Linked DNA regions of Xenopus tropicalis. The protein of the gene in region 2 interacts with the protein of the main gene of each other region in a pairwise test. Links are inferred from orthologs where the notes say so. Each region holds a gene or a part of one and is shown on either strand. Other genes may lie near its edges. The genes, in order: ppm1b and erbb3.

Region 1 (3,823 bases), on a different chromosome or scaffold from region 2:
AAGTAATCCACAAGGCTGGACTCAAAAGAAACCAACTTTTAAAAGACCATTTTTGTAAAGCCGTTTACATGTTTTCAGATGTCAAGACAAACGATGGCAGAGATAAGAAACCCGCAGTTCTGTCGGTCCATAGAATTGTCCTTTCTGGTAACATTATCAGCAAACCTTCTAAAGCTAGGTTGTAAGGGCCCATGATTTACAATGTTATGGGCATTCACACATTTATCTAAAAACAAATAAAAAATTTTTTTACAGTCTTGGAAGATTTGTCTCCATGCTGTATATAAACAGTGTTTCTGGTTAAAAAACTGTTTTGAGTGGTAAATTTCCGTTTGGGGGCAATTTTTTTTTACAAAAAGAGAGTGCAAAGTAATTAAAAAATGCCTCTTAGTTTGGTGGAGGTGGGGTGCTGGGTAAGAAGCACAGCATCTGATACCTAGTGGATCAATAGATAAAACAGGATTGGGTAAAAGTTGAAAAAGAAAAAAAAATCATGCAGACTGCACATCAAATCAAGTGAAAGATGTTACTCCATTTCTGGGTTACTTCGAGTAATTGGGTCATCCACAGGTTTACTGGAGGAAGAGGACGATACTGAAGGTCCAGATGTGGATTCTTCACCCTGAACTTTAACTAGCCTGTAACTACACAGCATCTCCTCCAGGAGTTGACGGTAGTTCCCCCTATGATTAATTCTCAGTTCCCTGAGAGCTTCCACCAACTTCCCATGCGTTGAATTTTCCTCTGTTCCAGTGGGGTCCTTATTTAAGATTCAAGACCCCAGTGTCAGTAGGCAAGACAAAAAAAAATTCTACACATTCTAAAGAAATATTGCAGAAAAAAAAACCAAGGTTACAAACGCAACAAAGCAAATTGACTTCATTAACCTACTTCTGCAAATAGCCAGCACTTCTTAGAATAAATTAGAACAGTTTATAGTAATTACCAGCCAACCATTTATAGATGTTGCATAAAATATCATAAAACTTACTACTTTTAATGGTCATAGGATGTTGAACTAATTGTACTTCCCCTAAAAATGTTCCTGGTGCAACCAAAATGACAAAGAAGCTCATGACAAAAGGTTGCACAACAGCTATACGTGACAATGCCCCTTTAATATTTAGAATATTTAATAGTGCAAGTACAAAAAAAACCATAACCAAATAATAAAAGTGATGAAATAAATATGCACTGGCAAACACCAAGCACTGGGAACAAACTCTGCATATCTATTAGAAGGGTAGGGCCTAACATCACAACTTACCCCATCGCTCTCTCTGTGTGGATTCAACCTATTATATACCTCTTCAATAACACTGCGTCTGAAAAGAAAAAAAAAAAGATTAATTCTTGGCCTAAAACTATTTTTCTAATATTCTCCCACAGTTAGACCCAGAGTTCAACCCACATCAATAACTAACTGAACAGTAAGTCTTATTGCTGTTGACAACTTTTATTAGCAATACCCCCTGCCTTTTCCATACTTACCCTTCTAGTCTATAAGAGCCCTAACACACAGGTACACTCATCGATTCCTTTCAGAGTCACACCAAGCAGGGCACTAGCAGGTTAGGCGATTATCAAGTGAAAATATATTACTGGGTGTAGGAAACTCCCATAGGACTGAACAGAAAAGAGATTTCAAGCTTTCTGTCCCCAACCCAACAAGCTGGAAAATAGTTCAGGCTACAAAACACTTAGAATTACCCATGTTTTATTACCCTAATTTAACAGCATCAGCTTCTAAGAAGGACAAAGTACCTTTCTCCCTGCATAAAGACTTGCTTTTGTTTCTCTATTACAAGCAGCTGAACGACATCTTCTACTGACTGTTACCTAGTGTGAAGCTCTGCCCCATTTTGCACTCTCCATCTATGAAGGCCTCAGAGAGGTATGCTGGGCATGCTCACTGCCTCTGCTCCAATTAAAAACAATCAGGCACGAGCAGTAGGAATCTCTCTGGTGTTCAGAAAGCAAGAAGGGTGGAGCATCATGCTAGACACGGAAGTCACTAGAAGAGCTGCTGTTCAGCTACTCGTTATAGAAAAACAAAAATCTGAATGCAGGGAGGAAGGTATGTTATTTTAGAGATTTAAAAAAAAAAAAAAAAAGTTTACTTATTCTTAATTTCTTGATTTATAAAACAGCAGTGCCATAGTTGCCTGGATTCCTCGCTTTCTACTCAATGCATAATCAGCTAATCATAAGGTGCGGCTGGGCCAAATGGTGTCCAGCCCAGACAGAACAAGATGATGTCTATATCCGAACTCACACACTATGAACATCTCTTTTGTAAGGATGACTGCTGTAAAATAAAGGTTACTTACTTTGCTGCCAAGCCTCCACCTGGCGGTAAATGCGGGACGTTCTCTGCAGCTAAGATGCGCATTACATGGGCAAGATCTGGCATTCCTTCCTCCCCAGCGTTGGTCATGATTTCTAAATAAGACATTTCCAACATTGTTAGTTACACAGTATTTGTGTCAGGCTTACACAAGGAACAAGTTATATACACATGGAGGCAGACAATGTATTGTACATGGACCATTAACTTTAACATGATTTATACATGATACGAATTTATGTAGTGCTGATCTTTAGTTTAGTTTCTTCTGCTATTTATGGAAATCTAGCAGAAAGATTTCACATATGGGGCCAGGCAACTGCAAGCAAAGTGAAGAAAGTCAGTTTTGTCATTCACCAGAGCTACTAAATGCCCGGGCAACAAATTCTAAGGATCTCTGTTACTTAACCGATTTACCAAGAAGCAGGTGACCAGACCAGTTGCCCGACCTCACACAAAAAGGTCTTCAACTATGTGACCCCCATCTTTTTAAAACATCCTATGCATTACTACTACTAAATGCAACCCCCACTTTTTCTGCTTCTGGGCTCTGGATTCCTTATTCAGAAATCCTCCTGTCTTACTGAACAGGAGGAAAAGCAGGGACCCCACAGTAACTGCTATTTATCATTAGCAATGAGTTTAGGTTGCTGCAGACAGCATCTGTTTCAACAGGGAACGAGACAGCATCAGAGCAAAATACAGTTATGTATACAGTTATTTTTATAGCTTAGCGTATATGTTTGGGGGGGGGGGGGGGCATGAATAGTAAAAAGACTGTCTGCCTTTTAAAGAGATAGTAATACTTTACTCATTTACCAGGACCTCATAATTATCAATTAAATAAACCAGCTGGCACTCACTCACAAAACTGCACAGCAGATCCTGTCATGTCTCTACATCTTACAAAAAGTTCTGATTGGCTGAGGACAAATGTAAACAATGTCCCTGCTTGTCACAACTTTGCTCTGTGCCCCTAATGCAAAGGCATCTACAGGTATGGGGCCTGTTATCCAGAATGCTTGGGACCTGGGGATCTTTCTGTAATTTGTAAAATCTCCATACCTTAAATCAGCTAAAAATCATTGAAACATTAAATAAACTCAATAAGATTTTCCTCCAATAAGGATTAATTGTATCTTAACTGTACTGTTATTACTGTAGAGAAAAAGGAAATAATTTGTAAAAATTCTAAATCATTTGATTATAATGGAGTCTATGGGAGATGGACTTTCTGGATAATGGGTTTATGGATTATCATCCATTATTATTATTATGCCATAACTGTAATTAGACTTTATTGACAGAAGCAAGGCAGCTGGATCACTTTAAGCATGGTTTCCCCACTGGATTCCCCAATGCCATCTGTTATTCATATGCATGGAAATCCCAATAACCAATAACTGCATTAGAATACAAATTATACTTTCAGTATAAAATGCAGACCAAAGAACTAGAGCTTATAAATTGCTTCCA
Region 2 (4,397 bases):
TGCAGCTCCAACCTGGCCCAAGGAAAGTCATGATACCAAAGCTTGAATCAATCTGAAACTTTCGTACTCGTTACAACAAATACAATTTTGTCTCACAAATTGACGCAAAGCAAGTTGCGGAAATAAACGAAAATATAGTACAAAATCTGCACAGTTCTAAAACTTTTAGCATTCAAACTCAATCGTACTTTAATGAATAGGCTCCTTAATATCAGCCTCATTTATTAAAGCAGTGCAAAGCGCAATTGTTGGATGCAAGTAGCCATTGTTTTTGACCCACAATCTAGAAAAAAATTTTCCCCAGAGTTCCAGCATAATTGTGACCAGTTTGCGCAATATATGCACTTGCACATAATTCATAAGAACATGCTAGATGGGAACATTGGCACTGTCACTAGTTGTTAGGAGCAATTATGAGCATTGATGCAGGCTCAGTAGTGATTTTTAGCTGTGACTGTAAATGAGACTGGGTATGTGAGTACTGCTATTAGGTTTGAGTGATTATGTACTGGGGTTAAGATACATAGTTATTATGCATTAACCCGCCATATTTAATAAACAGTGCTAAGTTTGCCCAGGAGCAGTAACCAATAGAAACCAATAAGGTGATTGCTTATAAACAGGTGACCAATAAATGCTTCCTGCTGATTGGTTGCTATGGGTTACTGCTCCTGGGCAAAATTAGTGCTTTTATTACATCACCCCCTAAGTTAGTGTGTGAGCTGCAGTGAACCTTCTGACAGAAGCATTTTTTGAACATAAGCAGGGGATAAAGGGCAGAGGTAAGTCACTACGACGATAATGAAAACAATTACAAATATAAAACAAATATAAAACATTTAATTTCAAACTCTGTACATCATTGGCCCCATGGGAGAGAGGCTTTGTTCAGCTGCAAAGTTCATGCTTTCCACCAGGATCTCCAGCCATCTTAGAAAACAAAAGGCAATTTTGTACATACCTACAGCATACCCCTCGCTGCCCGGTTGGGCTGTACAAAAATAACATATAAAAATATACTCTGGAAACAAACAATCAAAGCTATTTTACAAAGTATTAGAAAAGCACAGATTAACTGGTAGGGCTGTAGGCATGGATACATGAACAGGGCAACTGTCTATGTGGTAGGGTTATGTATACAAAACAGTTCCTTCCTTTACATTTGATGATTACATACGCCAAAGTTACCTTGTTAAACGGCATCCAAGGTAGAAGTCTCCTCTACAAGAAAAGGCATATTCACTGGGGGTCCCAAGTTGTTAGGCAACCCCCTGTAATTCTACTTGCTTACTACAGACCCCCTGCTGGGACTACTCTTTTTCCAATGCAGCAGCCTAGGGTCCTTTTCTTCTCTGCACTGCTACTCTAATGGTGTCCCCAGCATCCTCTGCACTTGCACATGGGCAGTACAGGAGTAGGTGAAGAATTTCTGTAAGGCGCATATGATAAACCAGGGCTGCACAGAGGATGCTGTGGCATTGGAATAGTATTGCAGAGAATACTAAACGTTTATATACTAAGAATTAACGAGAATTAACGAGAGTTAAACGAGAATACTAAACTAAACGTGCAGAGAAGGGCAAACGTTTGCTTCTGGGTCCAGAATATAAATAGGTGGTGATACTTTCATCACCTTACTTCTTTTGTATATTTTTGTAAAAGGGAAAGAAAAGTCATAAAGAAGATCCCCACACACCCAGAGGCTACTGTATGTTAGAATATCCTGAGGCCTGAGCTACATAGCTCGTTTTGCAGCCCTTCAGAATGAAATAAATTAAGGAATCTGTGGCTTAGATCACTCCTTGTGTCCCTACCTAGGGGAAGTACAAGGCAGTCAGAGCATGTGTGCAAAGTGCTGACTTGGGTAAATAAATGTTGTGCGAAATAAAGAAGTTAGCTAGCCAAACGTGTAAAAAGACTGGAGTGAGCAACATGGAGTGTCAGCATAATAGCCAGAACACTACCTAATAGAACCTGCTTTCAGCTCTCTAACCTCGTAGTTAATCAGTGACTTTAGGGGGGGCCACATGGGACATAACTGTTCAGTTAGAACTGATCCTTAGCACACAGGTCAGATTTAAAAGCAAACAAACCTATGCCCCACCCCCAAGTCAATTATTGGTTACTGACTACTAACAGGTTAGAGAGACAAAAGAAGGGTTGTGTTCTGGCTATCCGCTCACCTCAGCCCTTATAGGGTACATTTTTGGCTAACTAACTGCACAGCCTATCTATTTCATTTTTATACTGAATAGTTAATTTAATGCTGCAATCTGTGGATTCCAACATGGTGGCCAGGGAAAGGGAATTATGGGGCTTTTCCTTTACTAGTGCTTTGTTCATTTATGTTATTATTTTATTTCAAAGTATTTCATTTGTTCAGAGCTCATTTTTTTCCAGAGTGGAACGAAAACATCACATGACTACCAGGATATAAATGCATAATTTGCCATACCATCACAAAACAGTAAATTTTTTTCAGAAGTGATTTTTTTTTAATGTACACTATTTTACCTAATATTATGTATTGTTTTTAGGTATGTTTTCTGACAACAGTATGCCTTTAACAATATCCCTCTAAAAAAAGTGTTACAGTGTCAGGTTATATTACCGCTACTATTTATCAGTGCAGTTAGATTCCCCACTAAGTCTCCGAGCTTTATTAGAATGCCATGACTATCCATGCTTTATCCCTTCATGACAGCGTAACACTAAGGGGAATAGTTATTATAGTGTGTAAGCTGACATCACCAGTGATGTTGCCCATAGCAACCAATCAGCTATTGGATTTGAACGGTCCCTTACAAGTTAGAAAACAAAAAGAAAGAGCTGATTGATTGCTATGGGCACTATAATAAATATGCCCCTTAGAGGCCCATATGCTGCAGTTCTAAGATTCCTAATTCTTTAGGGCAATGGAGCATCTTACTGTGTGTCTCCACTTCGACAAATCATTAGTGGTTGTGTGTCTGCTTTCCATTGTAATAAATAGAAAAACACATTATATTGTATCATTGCTATGTTTTGTTTGGGGACACTATTTATCCAGTGACACAGAGTTCTTGCTGTTGTATAACAAACACCCACTAAAGAGCTAGGGACATACCCAAGCCAATATGATTGGGTTCAGACTAACACCAAACGATTCAGCCACGCACTGAAACAACTCCTAATTTGCATATTCAAATTTGCAACGAACATTAAAAATGCATCCTCTAAAAAATGTCACTTTCAGTGACTTTAAAGTGCTTTAAAGCCACATGACTGGTGGGTTGAGATTTGATTCACTTGCATGCAGGTTTAATCAGGCCCAACCACCTTTGTGTATCATAATGACCAAACTGTAAGTGTGAATAAGCTAACATTGGGACATTGCAGGGGGTCAGATGATCAGCTCTTCGTACCACACATAACTGAATTCATGTTGCTTCTCATTTGAGAGCAGAAGATAGCTCGGGGGTCATTCAGTCACTCCTGGAACTTAGTGGGAAGTTTGTTTTTTTACAATTGCATTTTCAGTTCTTATGTCATCTGTAGGTCAGTCTTAGAAAACAACCGGCTGTGCCAGTAGTCTGGATTGTCAAATGCACAGTCTTTAGCTTCTAAAGCCCTAAGGGGCTGGTGATACCCTTTTTGCAATGCCTCTCTATGGCAGGTCTGAGGAATTACTGTTGGCCTTTCCAACTGCTGGGGCAGATTGGCAACCAAGTTCATATCTTCATAGCCCTGTTTATCCTCAGTTTTAGTTTCATCCTTTACTTTCCCACTCCGGTTCATATAAGTGTACTCCTCCAGGTCGCCATCTCCTAAGCTTTCCCTACTTGTGTATTTCCCTTTTTCATTCATATACTCGTAGTCCTCCTTGTTTCCATACTCATAGTCTCCCTCTTTGTCACCCTCCGCAGGGGAGAAAGCTATGCATTCATTGCTTGCATCTCCTGTTCCACGTATGTCCATATATTCATACTCTAGCTTCTCTTTTGAGCTGGGCTTCTTTTTGTTCATGTATTCATACTCTTCATCCTCTTCATCAGTGGCATTGACCAGGCATGGTGTCAGGGATCTGGATCCTTGGGATGTTAGTGTTCCATCCCGTGAAATTTCTGTGAGTGAAGCAAGCATAGAAATGAGAATGGTGTAAATACGCAGGGGCCACAGCCAATAAAGGCAGTCTGCTGTAACCTATTAGACACCTAAGAATTCTGTGCTAGTTTGTCTCTTACAGAGCTGTACTATCCAGGGAAGGGTACAAGCTGTAAAAATGGCCAGAACTCAGTCTTTCTATTAGCCATTTACTTTTTACTCTGTTTACATATTCCCAAGCTAATGTATATTACTTTACCTCATACATACTGTTGCTCCTTCATTATTTATATAATGAAAACAATTTACCAAAA

The links.
Region 1: the proteins of erbb3 (region 2) and ppm1b interact in a two-hybrid assay, tested with the Homo sapiens proteins (2 studies listed by BioGRID and IntAct, with this or other methods). The link is inferred for Xenopus tropicalis from reciprocal best matches to the Homo sapiens genes ERBB3 and PPM1B.

What each region holds. Positions count from the first base shown.
Region 1 is NC_030681.2:18,672,414-18,676,236, reverse strand, and holds part of ppm1b (protein phosphatase 1B), read right to left. Parts: intron 2,443-3,823; coding exon 2,331-2,442; intron 1,326-2,330; coding exon 1,268-1,325; intron 821-1,267; coding exon of another isoform or gene 812-820; exon of another isoform or gene 761-811; coding exon of another isoform or gene 527-760; exon of another isoform or gene 1-526.
Region 2 is NC_030678.2:137,675,982-137,680,378, forward strand, and holds the end of erbb3 (receptor tyrosine-protein kinase erbB-3), read right to left. Parts: intron 4,104-4,397; coding exon 3,523-4,103; 3' UTR 819-3,522; downstream 1-818. UniProt on the Homo sapiens protein: Tyrosine-protein kinase that plays an essential role as cell surface receptor for neuregulins.